Tribolium castaneum: one gene and its partner. The protein of the gene in region 2 purifies or fractionates together with the protein of the main gene of each other region. This does not show direct contact. Links are inferred from orthologs where the notes say so. Each region holds a gene or a part of one and is shown on either strand. Other genes may lie near its edges.

What was found.
Region 1: the proteins of Rab5 (region 2) and Rbsn-5 purify together in Drosophila melanogaster (affinity purification with western blotting; 3 studies listed by BioGRID, with this or other methods). This does not show direct contact. The link is inferred for Tribolium castaneum from reciprocal best matches to the Drosophila melanogaster genes Rab5 and Rbsn-5.

What each region holds. Positions count from the first base shown.
Region 1 is NC_087396.1:24,288,425-24,299,627, forward strand, and holds Rbsn-5 (rabenosyn-5), read right to left. Parts: upstream 4,902-11,203; 5' UTR 4,848-4,901; coding exon 4,712-4,847; intron 4,663-4,711; coding exon 4,249-4,662; intron 4,201-4,248; coding exon 3,446-4,200; 3' UTR 3,315-3,445; downstream 1-3,314. Other genes in the region: uncharacterized protein LOC103313509, read left to right, coding at 34-123, 174-2,358, 2,404-2,658, 2,703-2,887, 2,933-3,059, 3,104-3,291; tup (tailup), read right to left, coding at 5,737-5,904, 6,922-7,134, 9,698-9,999.
Region 2 is NC_087398.1:666,155-678,124, forward strand, and holds Rab5 (ras-related protein Rab-5B), read right to left. Parts: upstream 7,688-11,970; 5' UTR 7,517-7,687; intron 5,476-7,516; 5' UTR 5,471-5,475; coding exon 5,226-5,470; intron 5,173-5,225; coding exon 4,883-5,172; intron 4,792-4,882; coding exon 4,679-4,791; 3' UTR 3,676-4,678; downstream 1-3,675. Other genes in the region: myosin-10, read right to left, coding at 1-27, 90-230, 280-321, 367-441, 1,470-1,652, 1,702-1,792, 1,842-1,867, 2,096-2,144 and 3 more; ncm (pre-mRNA-splicing factor CWC22 homolog), read right to left, coding at 7,947-8,382, 8,441-9,110, 9,289-10,453.

The DNA of each region.
Region 1 (11,203 bases), on a different chromosome or scaffold from region 2:
AAAACAAAAAACCCCGGATTTTCAAATTTCAAAATGGTGGTCGAACCACTTGAAGAAAAAGTGATTGCGCGAATTCGAAGCTCCTCTTCAATTGATAGCGTGACTCAGTGCATCACAGAACTGGTAATAAACCATTTCCTGTCCTTTAAATGTATTAGTTATGCAAAATCCAGGTTTTGAACAGTTTGGACGCGAAAGCGACAGCTATTGCTGTTCGAGTCAATCTTACAACTTTTCGCCTACAAGTTGTAGACAATGGGCGTGGAATTTCGCGCCCGAATTTAGAATTTGTGGGTCAACGCTACATGACCAACAAATGCCACAGCTTGGACGACCTCCACAAACACCTAAAATTCTACGGTTTCAAAGGCGAAGCCTTGTCTAACATTTCGCACATTTCCCAACGTGTGACAGTTGAGACTAGGGAACACAACAGTGAGGAGACTTTCGTCAAAATCTTGGAAAAAGATAAACAAACAATCAATTCAAGTAAATGTCGGGCCAGCCATGGCACCACTGTCACAGTTGAGGGTTTTTTGCACAACTTACCAGTGAGACAACAATGCGTCAAAAACAACGAATTAGAAAATATCAAGCGGAGCCTTGAGTGCCTTATTATAATCCACCCGCGCGTGTCGTTCACTTTGCGAAACGATTTAGGCCTGAAAGTTGTTCTTTCAAGCGTTGCAACACCAGATATTGCAAGCTCTTTCAAAACAATCCACCCTGAAATAGACGAAAACGAATTCGCTTTGCTCAAAGTTGGCAAAAATAAGACACGCGTTGAAGGTCTCATCTACAAACAGTTGCACGAAAACAAGCGCTTGCAGTACTTGTATGTCAATAAGAGACCGGTGAACTCGCCCAAAATCCTCAATTTTGTCAATGCGCTTTTTAAAACCGTCCCCAAAACTGATCCGAAGAGGAAGAACCCCGTTTTTGTCATACACATCAAGTGTCCCTACTCCGACATTGATATCACTCTAGAACCAGCAAAGACGCTTGTGTTCTTCAGAAAAATTGATCTTGTGAAGCGATGTCTCCAAAAAATGATCAGTACATTCAAAGGGGGTGATTCCGAAATAGTGGCCAAGAAAACGCACAGGCCTTTGAGTGAGTTTGGCGTGTCCCAGATAGGAGGGGCTGTGAAAGGCTTCGGGACGAAGCGCAAAAGTGAGGATTTGGAAGAGTTGGTGTCGAATAAATCGGCGAAAATTGTCGAGGATACGCCCTATTTTGAGGAACCGAGGGTTGTGTCCAAGCAAACGAAGGTGGCTTTGCCCATTGAGGTGAAAAAGGGGGAGAAAAGGGAGAGCGAAGGTATAATGGATAATAGCCTCTATACCAATTACCCTGATAACGAAAAGAAGGGGAAAGACGTGATTATGGATATGTTTATAATGTCACTGGACGTGTTCCCGCCTGAAGATAAGGCTAATGAAACTGAACCCGAACTAAATAATGTAGTGGATATGGAAACTACTTTAGATAAATCACCAAATGAAAAAAATGCTCTTTCCCAAAAATCTCCGATTAAGGAGAATATGGTTTCAGTGGGTATTCAGGCAGGACCGGGGAACATACCGGTATTTGGGGTCACACCACGAAAAGCTATGTCTAAATATGTGTCTGACTATGATTTTGATTTTTCCAACGTCGAAGCTTTACCGACTTTTCATTTTAAAACGCCAGATTTGCCCACACATTTCAATCAGCCGAAGAAATTGTTCGATTTTCGTAATACAAGGCGTAGCAGTTTTAATATTTTTGCTAATGAAAACACGTTTGATCAAGTGAGGCAATCGCCGTATTTTGCTAAGAAGGCCAAAGCTAGCAAATTTGAGATTGATTCGAATAAAGAGAACTGGTCAAATGACTTGGATAATACAGTTGATTTTAAGTTTATTAAAAAAGACAATACGAAAAGAATTTTGAACGAATCACATACTAGTAAATACTTCACGCCTCAAAAATCTAAGAGTTGTAAATTAAGGGTTCAAACCCCGAAACACACCCTTTTGGAAGAGTCGCGAGATTTATTTGATAAGTCATCCGAAAGTGGGCTTTTAATAACCCTGGATGAGGAAATTGAGAAAAACAAAACTGAGGATATTGTCATAGCCCCCACATTTACGCAACATCAGAACCTTTGGTTAAGGAAAACTGGCAACGACATTACTTTTGAAATGACCGAACGCTTTGACTTTGTCCCCAAAGGCCTGTCTCCGATTTTGAAAGATTGTGGCAAAGTGGACGACATGAGCCCCAAATCGAGGCAACAGCTACAAAATGCGCTCGTACAATCGTACGAAGACGAGTTGTTGATGGTTAAGTGGCAGAAGTGTCTTGATGATGGGGGTAATTGTTTACGAAACGTTGCCTTGTCACATGAACGTGTTACAGATCCGAAGAAATTCTTCGATGAAATTTATGTGGAAAAGTCGAGATTAATCGAAAGTGAGGTTCCTAATGCGTACAATAGACATGTCAAGGATTTTGAAAATATAAGCTTCACGAAGGATTTATTCAAAAATGTTGATATTATCGGCCAGGTTGATTGCAAATTTATTGCAGTGTGGGAACGGACGAGGAATTTGGTTGTGTTGTTTGACCAACATGCTGTGCACGAGAGGGTGCGTTTGGAGGAGCTATCGGAAGGTCGTGTCACACTTGTGTAAAAACTTCAACTGAGATAATTACAGGTTACAAAAACGCATCCACGAAACTTGACCAAGACATTACAATTTTTTTGCCACAAAGTGACTTAACGCTCCTCAAGCGACAAAAAACTAATCTCAAGTCGCTAGGTCTCGTTTTGGAGTTTTTCACCAACGGGTTGACCATTTATCAAGTGCCGCTGTGTCTTTACAACAAGTCGAAAAAAGGGGTACATTTGGTTGCACTTGTTGTAGTAATTGTCACAGTTTTGTAGGTCGATATTGTGTTTTTGACTCAGACTTTGATCAAAGAAATTGTTGATCTTTTGAAAACTAACAACGAAATTATGGTAAATACTCCGAGTCTTATACAAAATATCGTCAATTCCGAGGCTTGCAGAGGTTTGCCGATTGACAAATTAATTTTAGTGTAAAACTATTTTTAGGTGCAATTAAATTCGGAGATTCTTTGACCAAAAACGAGTGTTTTGCACATTTGAAAAATTTGGCAAAGTGCAAGTTGCCGTTTCAATGCGCTCACGGAAGACCGACACTCACTCCCTTAATTTTCCTCAATCGATTCTATGATGAAGAGGTCGCAAAACCAAATTTGCACAATTTAAGAGAAAATTGATTTTTGTTATTTAATTATGTATTAATTAAAAATATATTTTGGTAAATAATAATAGATACAGTGCAATAGTGTGACTAGTGAACATGCAGTTAATAAATAATTACAGTATTTCATATTTGTTCAGCACCAAGTTCCAAAAAATGGGTTAATTTATTTAGCTATCTCTCGTCAATTGTTGCTGTTTGTATGTCTCCTTCAACATTTTTAAATTCTCCTGAAGCGAGGCCACTTCTTCAAATCGTTGCGCTTTCCGTGCTTGGTCAATATAATTCCGCACAATATTCATTTGCTCAATTAGCGGGTCCTCAGTTTCGGTATTTTCATTACTCACAGCTGCAGGTGACCAACCTGTGGTCACTGTCACTCTTTTTATGTTCGTTTTGACTGCCAATTGATTCTCCTCTTCAGTGTTCCTCAGAGAGCGTTCGCGTTTAATTCTCTCGAGTTCTTGGACAGAAGGGGGCGCTGGTAGTGTTAATAAATAGTCTTTAATGTAATGAGAAGTCCCCCGTCTTATACTATTTTGTAGTAGTTCGACTTTAGGCGTTTCTTCGTCCACAGGCAAGGATGCGATTTTTTTACTCAAAATATCAATTGATTCGGCTTTTTTGGCAATTGAAGCCCTTAAAGATTGAGTGTCTTGCAGTTGAAACGTGGTCTCACCGGACGTTAGGGAATTGTACATTTTTAAATACAAATCAACGGAGCTCTGAGTTTGGGATTTGAGGTTTTGTAGGTGGTTGTACAATTGGCAAATTATTGGTTGTCTCATTTGTTCGAGTTGCACGCGTCTGCGACTCTCGAGCATGTCGAGGCAATGGTTGCAAATACGGAGGCTGTCTGGTTCCTTACCTTGGACTTGCTCCCGGTTGTTTACGTCCACGTTGTGAACGGGGGCAACTATCGCTTCTGGAATGAAAAATTATACTGTATCTTGGTGTTTAAAAAATGACTTACGAGCCGTCTCATATGGCAAAAAATAGGAACACGCGTTGCACATAATGCTTCCACATAACCTACAATGGTGCTGTCTCCTTGTAATATTAAAACTAGACGCACATGAAGGACAGCGTGTCACTGTGGAACCATCCAACCAAGCCACCAACTCCTGCTCTTGCTGTTTACGATCCGACCCATAGAACCTCAACAACCTATCCAACCTAATAATAAGTTTATTAGTTTCGGTGGTTCGATGATCGAGTCGTTCTCTACGAACGGCTTTGAAATAATCAGTGTGACTCCGGATCTGACCGGGTTCTTGCGGCTCACTTATCTCTAAATAATACTTTTCTAAGGTGATTTCATTTTTGAAAACTTCCAAGTCTTGTTCGTCAAGTTTTAATATCTTTTTCTTGGCTTTGCCGTACAAATCTGTGAAAATTGAACGTTTAAGTGTTGAGAACAGCTGACATAACCTCACCTTTGATGGATTTTAGGATGTCTTGTTCTTCGGAATGTAAGTCTTGGAAGTGGGCAATCAGATTGTTCGGGGAACGCAAGTCTTTGTGGCAAATGGGGCACAAGAAGCCCTCTTTTATCAAATTTGCTTCAGCCATTATCGCTTTACAAACATGTCAAACTGACGTTTAATTGACATTTGACAACGTAATACGAGTGATTGAAAATGACTGTTTGGGTTGGCAACCTTGGATTTTGTTGACTGACTTCTGCTGACTGTCATTTTTTTTGTTGACGGAAATAAAAGGCGCGCGATTATCTCATGTATTTATTTACAAATTAATTTTTTAATGTAACATTATTTACAGATAACTTGCTGTTTTATTTCTTATCAAATACAGTTTTATAAATTCATTGCAATAAATTATGTGATACAGAGCTCTGTAAAAATATCATACATTCGAATGCACAGTAGTAAATCTAAAATTAATAACACCTACAAATTAGCGACAAAGTTAGATTTTCCATAACAAATTGTACAATCAAATGTTACATTAGATATATAATTTTACAATATGGTACAGTGTATTAGTAAAAAACTGCTTCACGCATACCCCGACAATAACAACATCAACAAAACATCTAATGATACAACTGTAAAGCCGGAAAAAAATACCACTCAGTATTTTTTCTCCAACTGTACGTAAAACAAGGAATATTGAGACTGGCCAACAAAAACCATGTGAAAACTTCGATGACTCTCGAGTGAGATCAACGCAAAGTGGCGATATGTGTTGAAATTTTGATTTTGATTAAATTGAGATTCGTTCTGGCCACTTATTGTGATGATGAAAAACCAAAAAAGTGATTGTTCGTTTTGTTCGTTCCTTTATCGTCCTGAAATTGTAGCCATGATGGTGGTGGTTACTAGGGTGGTGGTCTGCACAGCCGCCGAATCAGTCCTTGGTGGTGGTAAAGGAGGAAAGAGGTGAGAAGGGGTGTGAGAGCGTTTAGGGGCGGAAGCGGCGACGGCTAGTTGTGGGGGTGTTAGGGACTGGCGGGAAGGCTCTCGTCGCTTTCGAGGTAGGTAACGTAACTATCGGTGCTGTCGGGATGCGTCATGACGTCAGACGGCGGCGCTGATGAGGGCAGCATACCCGGGGGTGGGCCGGTGGCGGGGCCCATCGACGGGGGCGGCAGGTCGTACCCATGCATCTGTTGGACAAAAATTATTAGCAATATTACAAATTACGAAGAGAAAAACTTCTTTCATTAAAAGAAAAACGTTAAAAATTATCATAAATGATTGGAATCCTGACTTTCTTCAATTTATTTTCATTCGACTAGTTTCGCCTGTTACGGCATTATCAATAACGGCACAAAAACACAAACATAAAAAATTAAAACTTTGTTTTCCATACTTAATAGGTATCTCTTGACTCACTGGACGATGAAATAATAGTTCCGAGAGTTGTAATGTTTCAAAAAAATTTCAAATAAAGCGGAAAATAACATTTTGTAAAAATTTTCTTTACGTATAACAGCTTTAGCAAATATTTCCTTTGTCTCCTTCGTGCTGGACAATGGCTTGTAAGTAAATTTTAATAAATAAGTATTTAAATAGTTTGCAGTTTCTTCTTTTTTTTTCTTCGACTTATTTCTCCTACGAGTATCCGTTATTTTATTGAAAAAATGACATTCTCATATAAAATTTCTCTTTCTCAAGTGCATTTTTTTTCATAGCTACATTTCTAGATATTATTGAATAGAATAAACACTTCATTTTTGCACGAGAAGCGAAATAACACGGTATAATCTAGTTATAGAAAAATGAAACATTAATTAATTAAGCAAATTTTAAGACCGTCGCACCGCATGTAAGAATTGTCAGCCAAACAACCAACTAAGTAGTACCTATATGACGGCTTTATTAGGTATTGCAGCTGAAAATAAAAAATATTTTGTTGACTGAAAGCTATTGCCTAAAATAATAATTTTATGGATTATTGAATAGGTACCTACCTATTATGTCTAAATCACAGCAATTTATTTTACAGATATTTATATTACCTATGCATGAAATAATGTTTTCTCTTGTCTTAATTTTTTACTGTTATGCCTTAAATTAGGCGAAGCAAACAAGCAGTGATTAATTTAATAACCGATGCAAAATTTTCCTTCTGATGTAATAATAAAATAAAGTATGTGGCGATGGGGGAATTTGCTTATTACCTGGTTGACGAGCTGCTGGAAGGCCGGCTGATGGGGTTGCTCTAAGTCTGCATGAAGGGCGAAATCTGATAGGGCTTTCCATGGTGGTTGGTAAGCTTGTACTTCAAGGGGATGGACACCGATGGGTGAATCGTGTCGTACAGGTGATGACGCTACCATTGGGATACCCTGCATGGCACCGTAACCCAATTTTCGCCCATCCTGCACGTAATACTGGGTTATGTTAGACATTAAACGGGAAACATAAAAAAGTACAATTTTACAACGGTACAAACAACAACCAGAGCATTAAATATTTGTTAATTTAACTGGAATTATTCTTCAACCGCCATCCGTTTTCTCATACCACCCATAAATAACATGCCGAGACAACAAGGGGCATGCAATGAGAAGTCATCTTCTCCAAGGTTAAAAAACTAGTTTGAGTCATGTTTGCGATTTAAATGTTGGGCCAGTGAGTGCCAACCGAAAGACACGACCCCCTCTATATCCCTCAGAAAAAAGCGAAATCGACCGGTTGAGCTCATGTGTGACGCAGACGATTGGTTGACGACGAGAGGCGGGGACACGCTCAGCTGATAAGAAACGCCTCCTGAGATTTACGACGTGAACGACCTGAGAGGTGGGGGGTATTCAATTATAGACTGGGCAATCTGTTGGGATGCTACGCCACTAATCAATAATAACACGGTTGTGTGTACGGCTGTGCGACACATTGACTTGCCCCAATGGGATTGTAAAAACAAGAAACTTTCTTTTTCGACTCATTTTTAATACACTTGTGGAAAAATAAACCACGACTCTTTGGTAAAGGTACTATTTTTAGGGAGTTACGATTAGTACTCCGCGCTAAAAGTTGTAGTACAGTGAGTTACAATGTTAAGGTTTAACAAAGAATATTTGTAATGAGGTACGAGTATAATACACTAGGTATTGAGAAAATTCATTAAACTGTTTTAATGTTTGCCTTCAAATAATCCCAAGGCTTTAACACAACACGTTTTGAATTCGAATTTGACAGAAACACAAAATTTGACAGGTGCAAAATCGGCGGAGGAATACTACCAACCTATCTAATACACCAAACACCCCCCAAAAAGGTAGGTGTATTTTAGTGATTTTAAGAGCCGGTTTATAGAAAGACTTTGTTAAAATTTAATTCGTTGTTAAAAGTTAACTACGCGAATAGACCAATCAAATTTTTCAATTTGGTCACGTGTTGCTTAATGTTGCTTGTATAAAACGACTGAAAGTAATTTTCAAGTTAAAAAATGTTCTACGGCTTTAAAAAGCGACCAAAACTGATTCCAATGTAATTATTTTCGAGATGGCGGAACATCCGGAACTAGGAACTTTGAATTTTTTTTATGAGGACTTTTATCAACAGGTCCTATATCTTTTCTGTCGGTTACACTTTTTGAAATCTTCACGACAAACAGAGTTAGCTCTTTATTTTCATCTTGGAAAAAATGTCGTATCTGACGTATCTGAAGGATCCTTCAGATGGCGGTATTCAATAATTTTCAAACTATAGTGAAATCATCGAATTTTGGACTTTTTGAATGAATGTTTATTCTGCTATTAATTATAGTAGCATTTTTTGGGGCTAATAAAGATGCATAACTAAATACCTCTGTCCTTATTTTAAATAAAGTTTTTGGTTCTTATTGAATTTTTTTAATTTGATTTAATTTTTTTATTTTTACTACACAATTTTAAAGCTTAATTAACAGATCATAGATAATTTTATGACAAAAACTAGCCGACTAAAATCCTAAAATCATAAAAAATTAAAATAGGAAATTGGCTTAGTAATTGGCTTGCATATTTATTTTTAAGTATTTAAATTATATTATAATTTACAATACAAAAATAAAAAATGAAAAAACTCTTACACAAGCTACATCTGTAACACAACTTCCATAACCAAAATTCCATTTTTTTATTACACAACCATTACGTTTCTTTAAAAAATATATTGCAGATGATGGATAAAAATATGGGACAAAGCGCTTTTTGCCTAAACTGCTGCCAGTTTTTGAAAAATAATATTTTTCTAAATTAATTTTAGTTGTCAGGTACTGTATTTTTTTAGCAACCTCTAATTAAATACCATTGGTCGTAAACCATCACTTCTACATGTTTTTTGCACTCACCATTTTTTAAATTATACTCCTGATATATTTTTTGTAAATAAATTGAAAAAATAAAAAAACTGGACCACAAAAAATTGAGCAAAACCAAATTTTTAAACATTTTCCGTTTTATTCTGACAAGTGAGTATGTTTTAGTTCGGACACAAAGAAGATAAGGCATCTCTTAGGGCCATTTCCTAGTACAACGTAACACCAATTTAATTTTATCTGTTCAACAATTACATTACCAGTGTAATTATATGGAACCGATAAACTTTAACTCGGTTTAAATCGTACTAGAAACCAGGTCTTAATGCATTATCACGGTTTTTGTAATGGCTATTTATTGTTAATGTCACAAAAATGTAAATTCTCTAATTACTTGCTGAAAAAGTCAAATAATTACACCATAGCAAATCACATTTTTCCGAAGTGAATTAAATCGGCAAAAAGATAAATGACTCACTTAGGTGTTTTATTTTTTCTAGATGTGTAGCTCCACTTAATTCGTGCTAATGCCGCATTCGAAATAATTGAACTAATTTCATAGTTAATTAAAATTTAACGCCGACAAATTACCTCGCTCACAAAAATACCTAATGCTCTGTTTCTTTGGCTAATTCACTAAAGAAAGAACTAACCTTTTCCTGTTGCATCTGCTGCTTCATAAGCAGGGTCTTTTTTTTGTCCTTGCACCTCTTGTTCTGGAACCAAACCCTGATGACTCTCGGGGAAAGTCCCGTCATTTCCACCAGCTGCTCCTTCATGAGGGCATCAGGCCTAGGATTGGCGGCATAGCACGTCCTCAACGTGTGCAATTGTTTTTCGTTGAGGACGGTGCGCACGCGCGTCGGCTTGCCGTCGCTGCCGCCGCCGCCGCCCCCGGAGCCCTTCCTCAAGCCGCCGCCGCCGCCCTTGTGCGACCCGCTCTCCGAGCCGGAATCTGCAAGCGAAAAATGAATCTTATAGAAAATTCTCTTTGTCCGGATTAATCCGGCACTGGCCGGCGTCCATTAGCAAAGTCCGGTAATTCCGGGCCGAGTCCGGGGATTAGCAAGGCGTGAAACACTGGTCAATGCAGATTAGGCCACTCTTTGTGCATAGGCGAGTGGATGTCGGCTTTACCTTAATCACCCGAATTAACTCGAATTGACGAGGAAATGTTTGGGTGATGGTGTCTTTTAAAGGAAGGGATTGTTTGTTCACCCTTCGGTCAAGACGGTCCAGCTTTGAGTTAAACCCAAGGCAAATATTTAAAAAGTAAAAATGCTCAACCTTGGAGGCTTTACGAAACTAAATAAAACCTTTCTAAACACTTGAAATGACCCGGGACGGACCTCACAACTATTTTAAACACAATTATTGTTTTTTTTTCATCGCCAAGCGTTCATTTGCATGATCTTTGCATGAATATTTCGTTAAGCAAGTTTCTTATACAGTTGCAACAGTTTGATGTAATCAACTAGATCATTACTGACATTTTAATTGGGAGCAAACTGGTTTTAATTGATATTTATTTTTAAAGTTATTTCAATACTTTTTAGCAGATATGCAGAAATGCAGCAAAATGATACCAATGGAATCTTTTTATGGGATGGCTCTTTTTTTAACATTCTAACGATTCCGAATGGACCGCCGTCTGACGAAAGACGGTTTTTTGGTAAAAACAGTCACAACAGAATAGGCAAAAAATATTTCTGATTTTTATAGCGTATACTAAATGCACTTCAAATTGATGTTTCAATTTCTTTAGAAATTTAGACAGCATTATTATTATCACCATAAAAATGGTCCCTTATGCTGCTTAGGTAATAGAAAATCGGTGAGATTTTGAGTACTTAATTGTGAATTAATTTTAATTATAAAAAGGGTAGAAAAATTCGGATAAATTCACACGCTTAGAGAGAAAAAAATGCAATACCATGAAAAAATAGCAATTTTTTTTTTACTATCTTATGTACTGTATTAATAAACGCAAATATATTCCAGAGTAATTAAAATGTACTGTTTTGTTCGCTTTTTTGTGCATTTTTAATATCTGGCTTTAAATTACTCATATCTAAAACATTAAAGTATTTCTGATGAAAGTTTTATTATTTATTATTATTCATTCGTTACTTTCTTTATCGTTGCCTTTATTTTTCTTA
Region 2 (11,970 bases):
GTTAATGGAATTGAGATACAAATCGACCTTTTGCCAACAACAAAAAAATAAAGCTGAAGCACTACGAGCTACATTTTACTCAGACTTACCGCTTTTTGTAAATTGGCAGCACAGCCTTGCGAACTGGCCAAACATTTCTCCAAGTCGACACATTTGGTTTTGAGTTCGTTCACTTCGCGTTGGCGACGCTCAATTTCGTCTTCGAGGTCTTTTTCGCGGCGCCTGGCGGCCTGTAATTACGTTAAGTGAGAAATTGTGTCGTGTTTGCAATTTTTTTACCGAAGTGTTGTCCATGTCCGTGAACGTTGTCGTGACATCCACCTGGGGATAACAGTTTTATTTAGAATTTAGTGTTTTCGGACTTACGCAAGGTTTCATTCGTTTGATCAGCTGGTGGGCCTCGTCCAGTTGTTTCCTCAAAGACGCTTCATTGTCATTGTTCTGGGAAAAATACCAACTCAGTTACTATTAATAAGAAATCCGGAAACGTGATATTTAATCGTCCCGTGCATATAAATAAAACACAATTGAAACGCAAGACAATATTTACTTCAAAAACTGCAACAACAATTAACACTTTTCGAGTTTTTTCAAAAACACCATCAAGACAGTATTCGCAAAGTTAACGTCCATTAATTTAATAATTTCGTTGCCGCGTTCGCAATCTTCATTAAGTTTCGATAACTCGGCGTTATACAAGTTCCGCAATATTTTGGTGTTATCAAAGACTAAGCTTTTATTTTGTTTGGTGAGGAAATCATTTCGCTGAAAAAACGCCCACGTCATTTGGTCAAAAAACAAGTGTCCCAATTACGATTTCGATATTTTCGGTAAAAGTCAATTTGGAGAGCAGGCCTTTGATTATGTTATAAAGACTCATTAGCAGCAGACTTTTCGAGTTGTTGTCCTCCTCCAGCTCTTTGATTTTAGTTAACGATAATTTGTGTCTCTCATAAAACTGTTTCATCTTACTCTTCAAACACTTTACTTGTTCTAGAATTTTGCCGAATTCCGAAAACTTTCCATTGCCAAAAGTCGAACTTTCCTACAAATTATTTCATGTATTTTTCGCCCCACAAACAACGACCGTCGTTCAATTATGCGTATATTTAACAATAACATAAAAAGTATAACTAAAGTCAGTCAATGCGGCCTTGGCCGGAAACTTGATCAAAGGTTTTATTAAAACTCGTCACAGTAAACTTTGATTTTTCCTTGACCGGAACCTCCGTCAAATACGAGGGAACACTTTCTGTCTTGCACAAGTTCAAATCCTTCCTTTCACTTTTTTTGCTTTCATCATTGATAAAAATCACAGTCGAATATTTGGGTTTTTCGCACGTGCGATTATGTCGAATCGTTGTCAAGACGGTCTTGTCGCGACTTTTCCATTTTTTTAAAGGGAATTCGGGACAAATCTGGAGGAAAAAAGGAGTCTCGGGGACAAAATAGGGGTTCCTCCCACTTACTTGTTGCTTCAACTGTTTAATTTCCTTCCGCAACTCTTTGATTATATCGTCCTTGAAGGCTGTTTGTTTATCAGCTTGGACGCACCGTTCCTCCAACTGTTGAATATCTTTTTTAAGGGCCGAAATCATGTCGTGCTTACAGGCCACTTCTTCGGTCAGAGCACTTCTCATATCCAACATTGACTAAGAAAATTTATTAATCCATTAACAAGTGGAATAATTGATCACTCACCTGCCTGAGTGCTTCATATTCGATTGTTTTCCTTTTCAACTGTTCAAAAACATCACCGCATTTGTTGTTCTCATTTTCGTCAACCGATTCGCTTAAATCAAGTGTCATTTTTTATTTAATTGCTATACAAAGTTACTTACTCGGCTTTCGCCTCGGACGGTGTTCCCTACAATAGAATAGATTAATTAAAACAAGGAAAGCGTGGGGAATGTTGTATTTAAAAGCCGATTTTTTTACAATTGTTGTACAAAAGTGCAGGACAACAACGACAGGGGTTACAAGGACTTATTGCACGTTTGGGAGAGTTGTGACGACACCTACACTTGTCTTTAATATTTTGCTTATTTCGTTTATCTACCACTTGTAGAATCAATTTTAGTGTTTTTTTGCCTACCTTTCTCTTATTTGCGTCTTTGGAAGCGACCGGAACCAAATTTCTTTCCCTACAATTAAAAAATAATTGATTAAAATAAATTACTCTCAACGATTTTTCTGTTTAATTAATGAGATTTGGACTTACTTATTGTCATTGCTATCGTACTGTTCTTTGCCAAACAAATCTTTATAAGTGATGTCATAAAACTGCAGTCCGTCGATACTCCACTTGCGGTCCTCCCTAATTCTCCTGATAAACTCCAGTAAGTTTTTCAAATCATTTTCCAAGTAAAAAACTTTCTGGAAAGGCTCATCTAAATTGTGTGTAATACTGTAGTTTTGGTACCTTTTCATCACCTGCAGAAAAATCCCCACTGTATCACTCAACAACGATTTCACTGTAGGCGAGGAAAATATCGAAAGTGCGCCCGGAAAAGCCGCGAAAAACGCCCGAAAAAATCATTTTGTTTCTGATTTGAACTTACTTCATAAGCACTTTTGGAAGTTTGCCGCAACTTATCCTCAAGCATGCGGACCCTGTTCGTGGCCTCATCTTCCAGTTCTTTGACAATTCTGGCCATCATTTGCGTCTGTTCGGTGAGATCGTCGATCCATCTCCTCTGGACCTTGAGTTTGAGCTGTGAAATTTAAATTTAGCGGGTTAGTAAAGATGGCGCTCGGAATGGTGTCAAGAGCAGGCCACACCCACCGCCCCTTGGAAAATGGGGTTAAGGAAAGGGGTAGAAGAACGCACCTCGAGACAGTCGCCGCCCCCTTGGTGGTCGATCTCGTTGAGTTTGTTCTCGTAGAAGCTGCGGAACTGCTCCATGACGTCGAGGGCGTCCTGCTCACCGCATTTTCCACTGGAGGCAAAAACAGGGCAAACGTCCCTGTCGGTGTTGGATTTGGACATTTTTTCAGCGAGGGAAACGTAAAATTTGAATTTTCGTGCTCTTGTTGATTTAGTGGTGCGATATGGACGGCATGTTTTGACGTTTGTGTGCCCAGCTCACTTTTCCCCACTACGTCGCCTACTGCGTTATTGGGGACGAAAATAGATCGGGACCCCAACTAAGGGGGGTCCGAGAAGAGACAGCAGTTGAACTGAATCTTTGGGCTTATGTTCAGCAAAATTAAGAGTTTTTTAGGCCTTGCACTTTTTTAACGCCTTTTTTCCTTATCGTCTTAATTTTTTTTAATAGATATAAAAATTGACCATTTTATATGGTTTTTTCTTATTTACGACAAACTTATTCGAAAGAACGAAACTATTTTGATCCATACCTATGCAAAATGATCCCGGGCATCAAGAAAATCGCCAAATTCCCAATAGTTTTTTGGTTATGATTTTTTTTTAATTTTACCTATTTTTGCAATTTGCGAGGAAACTATTAGTCGGAGAACAATAGTCTTTTTTGAAAAAGGTAGATAATGCAAAGAGCTTTCCAACGATAATAAACTTCATCTTGTTATCTCTAATAGTTCAATAAATGTTTCGGGTATTGAAAATCGACAAAAACCGGATTTGAATTTATTTTTTGAGAGTATTGAGGTTCTGTTGTATTTTAACTTACCGCAGCGTTATCTGAGGGTAAACGATTTTGTATTGTAATAACTTTATTGAGTATGATTTACTTCCTGTACAATCAGTTTCTGTGCATACAGAATAATGATAACCATATATAAGCAAGCAAATAAAATTATTAATTAATAATAAATTTAATATATTCAAATATAATACAGTGATACTCATGGATAAAGAGACATCCATACCATACGATATTAGTTTTCCTCATGTTTAAAATCTGTACAACCACCTTACTACATTGTACATCTACTAAATTATATTTATATACGAATGTAGGACTAAAGGCCTCGAGATCGAGCAAGATTTGTCGGCTTCAAGGCCCCGAAATCTTGATAGATCCCGAGACCGGATGACACATGACTTACATAATGAGCGGTTTTTGCTAATTCATTATTTAAATAAAAAAAATCACTACATATAGTACTAAAAGTTTAAAAGTTCCAGTCATGCATCATGTTAAGAATGAAAAGGTTCGAAAAGAACGCGGCGGTTAAATTTTATATTTTTGGACTCGAAAACATTAGGTAATTTGAAAAACACTAAAATACACGCAAGTTGTTACGATTTATAACTTACACCCCACACAAGTATAAATTTTAAATCATCTATCAATTAGATTGACAAAACTTCCTGAAAGCTTACGTGACTCATAATTGCACTTAATCCAAACGCAAAGAACCGAATAAAATTTGACTTGAGAGTGCGTAAATTTCGTCAATCCAATTCTACACTGTCAAATATCAAGTTATTTGAATCACTCTCTAACTCAAAATTATTATCACAAGATTTTAGTTACACCAACTTGCTACATGTATAAATAAAAACGATCCGACTGAAATGCAACCAAGTGAATTGATCCTAGAGAAAGAACGAAAATAAGTGACAGTGTACTGAGTGTTGTAACGGTATTAATAAAGGGCTTCTTATTACACTTATATATCACTAAAGTGCGAGCGCACAGTCCAGTCCCTTCAACTCGATTAAAGACACAAATCCGGGCGGCTGGAGGGGCCATCACTTGCAACAGTTGCCTGCGGCTTTAGCCCCCGTGTCGCCCTCTGCCAGCCTCCTTCCTTGGCCACTCGCACCCTGAGCCGTCGCCTGCTCGTTTTTGGGGAGCTTCTTGGCTGCAAACACGTCACAAATTGAATTTCTTTTGCCCAAACCGTGAAAGCACCGCTCAGCCAAGCTTGAAGAGGCCGAAGACCCTTAACGTACCTATCGCCAAGAAGATATCGTTGACATTCATAGCCGTCTTGGCCGACGTTTCCATGAAGAGCAGCCCGTTTTCATCGGCATACGTCTGTGCCTCTTCAAACTCCACCATCCTCTTATTGGCTAAATCTTGCTTGTTTCCAGCCAAGGCGATGACGATGTTGGGACTCGCCTGTCGCTGGAGTTCCTTCACCCACGTCTTTGCCCGTCCGAACGTATCCTGGTTGGTGATGTCGTAGACGACGATAGCTGCCTGCGCCCCTCGGTAGTACATCGGGGCCAAACTGTGATACCTGCATATTGTCTATCTAAGAAATGTTTCTTAAGAAAATTTAGAGATGGTGACCTTTCCTGGCCTGCAGTGTCCCAGATTTCGAATTTGACGGTGGTGTCGTCCAGACATACGGTCTGTGTGAGGAAGGCGGCGCCGATGGTGCTCTCTTGGTACTCGTGGAATTGGCCTTTGACGAAACGCAAGACGAGACTGGATTTACCGACGGCCGATTCGCCAAGGAGCACCAATTTGAACTGGCAGATTTTGCCCTGGGTTGAACCGTTGGGGCGCTGGGCTGTTCCGGTCCTGTTTGCCATATCGGCTAGCAATGACAAAATTTTATCTATACTAAAATCTGGCCCTTTCTGCCATAAAACCTTGACATGCACAATACTTACTTAAGGTTATTCAATTTCAATTCAAGTTAACCTCTAGATGCCTACCACACTAAATAAATTCAATAACAACTTTTAGGATATATTTGATTATTGGTTTCGGGTTTTTAGTCATGAATAATCCGATTTGTAATCCAAAACGTCGACTTAAAATAAATATTTTCAATAATTGTCCGAATTTCGTTATTCAGTCCTTTTTCCAAAGCCTTTTAATTTCCATAAATGAAGTCAAAGGATATCATGCATACGATTCATTACCATTTTAACTAAAAAGTCACTATTTTGCACCCAAGGGGTCAAATTCTGGTTGTTTTCAAAGAAGCAAAGGTTAATAAAACACAAAATTGTGACAACAGTTTAATTATATTTTCTAAAAAAAAATAATAGAGGAAAAAAATTATCCAAGTATTTCCTATCTTATCAAATAATGTGCTCGAAAAATAGACAGTTTTATCGTAAGATGTTTTGGGAATTCCCTTAACTCTTTCAATTCAAACCTAAAAATATCATGTTTTACAAGCGTAACAGTGAGATTGGTGACTTCTGAACCAATCATGACTCTTAATATTCAGATATTTTAATTTATAAATCGATTTTTCTGACACAAATTTAAAACAGTTTTGGGTGAGGAAAGCGCCCGTTTGGCCTGGCCTGTGGTTTTATTTTATTGTTTATTTTATTTTTGATATGAATTAATCTAATATCAAAGAAATAAACTGTGTAATTTGGCGGTTTCCGGTTGGAGTATTACTAACTGCTATAGAAAATGCATTCAGTTATTGCATAAATTATTGATTTTTTATTGAAAATCCAGTCAAGGATTATAAAAACGTGTAATAATTTTCCAAATTAATAAAAAACGGATTCGTTGGCCTCTGGCTCAAAGTTTCCGATGCAACAAAACAAAGTCTCATTTTGCATACTTTGATAAAACATTCATAAAACAAACAAGAAATTTAATGATGTGTTTTACATTTTTGTAAACATTTTAAACGCTCAAATAAAATTCTATTCTTCCAGTGTGAAAGATAATGTTGCAAAAACAAGGTAATTGATAAACCATTCATTAGATAATATTTTATTAATTAAATTTCTTCATTAAAGCAGGTGGGAATGTTGAAAGTGATATTTATTTTTATTTCACAACGCTTTAGTAAACAGTGTGTGAGGTAAGAGGGTTTAAACAGCTAACAATTAATAATGAATTTGAATAAAAACGTATTTATTTTGGGATCATTGATAAGTTCAAAATCAATTGTTTGTGAACAGAGACGTCACTTCCCCTAACTTACGATAAAACAACCACCCTTGGTATAAATTCAGCTTTCTTTCCGTTAATCGGATGACTAATCTGAATGTTATTCATAACAATAACAGTGGCATTGGAGGGAAAACCTGGCACAGGAATAATTTCAGAATAATCAAATAATGCAATGTTACATCCGGCCTTGTAAAGCATGAAAGCACGTCTCCGCGAGAATTCACCAACGTGAAGAGATTCAGGTCTTGTGTGTGAAAAAATGAGTTATCGCACTTGGTCGAAATTTTACAAGTTTGTTCTGCGATTAATACAATCTCTTATCTCTGGTAAATGTTCTGGTAGTTGTCGAGTGGTCATAACTACGTTCGTAATTATCTGTTTATGCAAGCCAGTCTGTGCGGCTTTAATCCCCGATAGGGGCTTCACAGCAATGACCTATAACACATAAGAGAGCTGATAACCGTGTCGTGGAATTAAAAAAGAAGGGGGCGTATGGCTCTCAAGGCTCCGGGGTTCAAGGGCGTCGTTGTCCGAAATCAGCTGACTTTTCAGGGGCCCCGCGAACGCCTCAATCAACAGGTCCAGGACCCCGTTACAATCCGACACGAAACATTGAGATTTACTTTAATGCGAATGACGCATTTGACATAATAAAAAAAACATCGTCTCCACTCATCTAACCTACCGACTTGGCTCTAGCTACTTACTTTGGTTAAATAGCTCACGTTGCACTAATACGATTACTGTTTTTCTTCCTCATAAAAATACCTTTGATCGGATTTATTGTTTTTAACACGATAGCACCAATTTACTACACAATGAACAAAAATTAGTGACACACAAAATGACAGCTCGGACCCGACGAAACTGCTTGCCAACCTCGCCAACAAAAACCACCAAGCCTTGTTCACCCAAATTTTCAGTTAAAACTAACCCAAAATTAAAATTTTCACCCAAATTTGTCTCATTTTAGCAAAAGCACAAACACGCAATTTAATTAACACCCACATTTCGTCAAAAAAAATGCCAAAAGTGTGGGTTTGACTAAGCGCCAAATTCAAATCTGGTAACTTTAAGGAATCAAACACAAGTCACAAATAAAAATATTTATTCAATACAATTTATGTACAAAGTAACTTATCTCCTACTCTTATGCTTCCTCTCGGGGCTCCTACGCCGCCTCCGATCGTCTCGATCGCGTGACCGTCTCTCATTATGTCTGTGTTTCCTCGCATCTGTTTTTCGTTTTTTATCATCGTCTGATGCTTCTTTTGTCGGTTTTTTCCTCTTCTTTTCTTCCTTCTTCTTACGTGGTTTCTCATCTTCGGAACTTGACGAATCCGAATCACTACTATCGGAACTGGATGAGCTTGAACTGCTAGTGCTACTGCTGCTAGAATCACTTGATTTTTCAGTAATCGTCAAGGGATTGACTTTAGGGGCTGTTTTCAAATGTTCCCTCAACTCGGCCGTAAGCCCCCCTAAGCCAATCGACGTGAAAAAATTAATCGCAAATCTTGTATTTTTGGGATCATCGCGCGGAAACAGCCCCTCAAAATGTGGCTGAAGCGTTCTGAAAAAAATCCAAAAAATTAACAAAACCTCGTTAATTATCAAACACAGTCACTTACGCATCTTTAAGCCTGGCATTTAACTTCTCCAAGCCCATATATTCGGCCAATTCCTGGAACAAAATCTTGATGAAAATCCGATTGGAACTATTGGTATCCTCTTCGTTCAGTTTCATAATTTCTAAAACCTCCCATCCAATCGCATCGGTGAACAACAAATGTGCGAAAAACTTGCTAACATTTCGCAATTTATTTGTGTCAAGTCTGTGTGTTGTGGCGTACGTGTCTTTGAAGATTTGTTGGAATGGCTCGACATAAATCTGATTCACTTGACAAAATCTCTGTGCCAATAATCCGTAAAACTTCTCGTAAGTCCGTTGTTCGGCACAACAGTCGAGGAACATGTGGCATAATTCGATTTCTTGGCCCGGTTTCAGTTCCATTTTCATTAGTTTGTGGGCACTTTCCTCAAAATCTAAACTTGATTGGATGGTTAAGTAGATTGTTCTGCGTAGGGCCACGAGGTTGGTCTCCGTATTGTCGATTATGTTGGATTCGTTCTTTTGGGCGCCTTCTTCTTCCTCTTCGTCCTCGTCTTCGTCGTCTTCCTCGTCACCGGACTCTTCCTCCGAGCCGGAGCCCGACTCGCTGTCCATGTCCAGGATTTCCTTGCTCAAAGTCTTGTACTTCCCCTCGTTTTCCTCGTAGTTGTCGTCGAATTTAAACACATCTAGACAGGATAATCACAGAGTGAACGAGGCAAATTAAGGAATTAATTAATTAAAATTTCAAAATAATTTTTTCTGAGAAATAAAAAAATAATAATAAAAAATCTCAAAACCTGGATACCCCGATTTTTTTGTATAAAAAATTAAGTACAGTTCCACCTAATTAAAAAGTTTCCTTACTTAAAATATCCTCAGCATTTGATTGCTTAACATCATCCAGCGTAATCAAATGTGTAAACTGGTGCTCCTCATCCACCAAATCCAACTCTTCAATAACAGCGGCATGATCCTTAAACCCGTCCTTCCTGATTTGGAACATAACTTCAATCATGTACTGAATCCTCGGTTCCAACTTCCCCTCATGTAAAATATTCCTCAACATTTCAAAGATGGCATTAATGCCTTTACTCGAAACCTCAGTCAATTTCTGTCCACATTCCTTCAGAAACGAAATCGCAACTTCAACCGAATCATCAGTTGGCGTCTCCACCAAAAGAGTCAAAATCTCCAAGGCGAGAATTTCATGCGCAACCCTCTGATTAACCAAATGAGCCACAAAAGTCGTGGCCGAAATGCAGATAATTTTATTATTCTGCTTGAAACCGCGCTTGAATTGCAAAACCAAACGTTTCAGTAACAATTCTCCAATATTAGGGAATTTCGAATTGATGACAGCGACCAGGGCTGCGTACACGTTTGTGAAAGTTGGGGACGCAGCTTGCGCTTGTATTATGGACTTGCAGAGCAGTCCGCGCCCCCTTACCACATTCTCATGGAGCAATTCCCGCGAAATAATCCCAATGTTGGACGTATTCACCTTGTTAATAAACCCATGAATGGATTTTTTTAACGCCTCCCACGCAATTCTTTGATACGCCGCCGAGCTCTTATCAGTAATCTCCGCTTGCATCATCCGCAGCTTCGCTGGAGGGATGTAAGCCCCACCTGTCCGTGTCAGTAAATCCACGGTTTTGCGCTCACGGGGGGCTATCACCGACTTATCCGTCTCCTTCTCAGACTCTTTGTCTTTATCGTCGGGCTCGCCCCCGTAATACCTACTACCCACCTGATGGTCATCCTTGCGGGGGTATTTGGTCCAATATCTATCGCTGTTTTTCTTGTGTTCTTGATCCTCGCCGTAATACCGAGGGTATTCTTCAAGGGGGCGGTCCAAGTCGTGGTATTTGCGACTTTTGCGACGGTCTCGTGAACGCGAACGGCGGGAACGCTTCCGGGAGTCTTTATGGGGCGAGTCGTCACGACGTTTTTTACGGGATTCAGGGGATTTGGAGCGGCTTTTACGCTTGGGTTTGGGCTGTGGGGAGGTTTCGGTGTCGGTGGTCATTTTTTAAGCACTCACAAAAACACAGTAAGAAATTGGGGCGATTATTGACAACACACAACAACGCAAGAGGTTGAGGTTATGTGGCACTGGTGATAATGACAAATTCCCTACTATTTTTGAATTTTAAAGTCGCCAGATTTTTTTGTGCATTTAGAATAAATTATAATTAATTATATGTACGTGTTTACGCAATTATAACATAACTAGAGGGCCAGGAATTGGTGGTTTTATTAATTCCAGACATATTTGAAAATTTACAGACTTACTAAATTAGTGACAAATCTAAAATTTCAAAAAAATTTGAATGTGATTTTGGGGGTCACGTTTGCCTAAAAAATATATCACGACCTGGGAATTTTGGGATTTTAATGATCTTTAAATGTTAAATAAAAGAAAACTAGATGATGTAACGTTTAGCTATTGATAGAAAACAAAAAGTACCTACATGGAAGTAATTTTGGCAAAATTTGTTACTTTGGAACCTTAAATATTGATTTAAAAGTTCAAAACAATAAAATTTTAAGTAGAGCATGTCTGAAAAGTTTGCTATTTTTTTCTTGTATTGTGTATTGTTTGTTTGTAGATTAACATATAATACGTGTTATATTTTATGATAACATTTCAGGCAATTGAGAAGACAAGATATGATATTGTAAAATTGTGAAATAGTCAGAACCTTATGGTTCTCAGGTCGCGATATTTTCAGAATATTTACTTCGACAGCGACTTTTAATGTGTTCCCATAAAATGAATAACTTGACACAGACTTTCGCTTTTTCTTGAAGAGAAATGGCTGTTGGTGCAAAAACAAGCAAAAACCGATAATAGTGGCTAATAACAGCTCTAGCGTACAATTAAATTTTTATGGCACAATAACAAGTTCGATCAAAGATTTCTCAACAATACTTCCGCGGTGAAAAGAGCGTTTTTACGGCATACTGAAAGTGTTACAAGGTATTTTATTCAGTTTGTGGATTTTAAAAAATCGGCGCGGAGAACGATAAGGTCACGCATTTTAATTTTGCGGAATTTCGCGGAGGCCTCCCATGAATATGTGAAATGTTTGCGTGTACCATATTTTATTAAACAGTTTGAACAATAAACAGTGCGAATGCAGCGTTTTCGAGGCATCAAGGTCACTGCCAAGTGAACTTAAACCCAGCTCCAGCTGTTTCAAAGATCGACCAACGAAACCAATCCGTACAAAAGAGCCCGAGGCTGCTTTATGGAGAGTACCCATGCTATAGCAATTCAGTTGGTTCTCAACCTTTCGGTGCCGATACCGTGCGCGTTCTCCTCTCCCATTTTTCCAAAATTTTGCCCAATTTTTGGTACTTTTTCTAAGTAAAAAAGCGTGCCGGGTTGGTGTAGGTGCTAAAGGTGCTGGGCCCAAGGTTGCGACTTTTGTTAATCATCTTGCTTGGAATAATTACAAGTGGAACTTGCAGTCATGGTAAATAATTATTTCGCACAAATCGCTCTTTTTTTAGAAATTAATTGACCACTCGCTTGAGTAG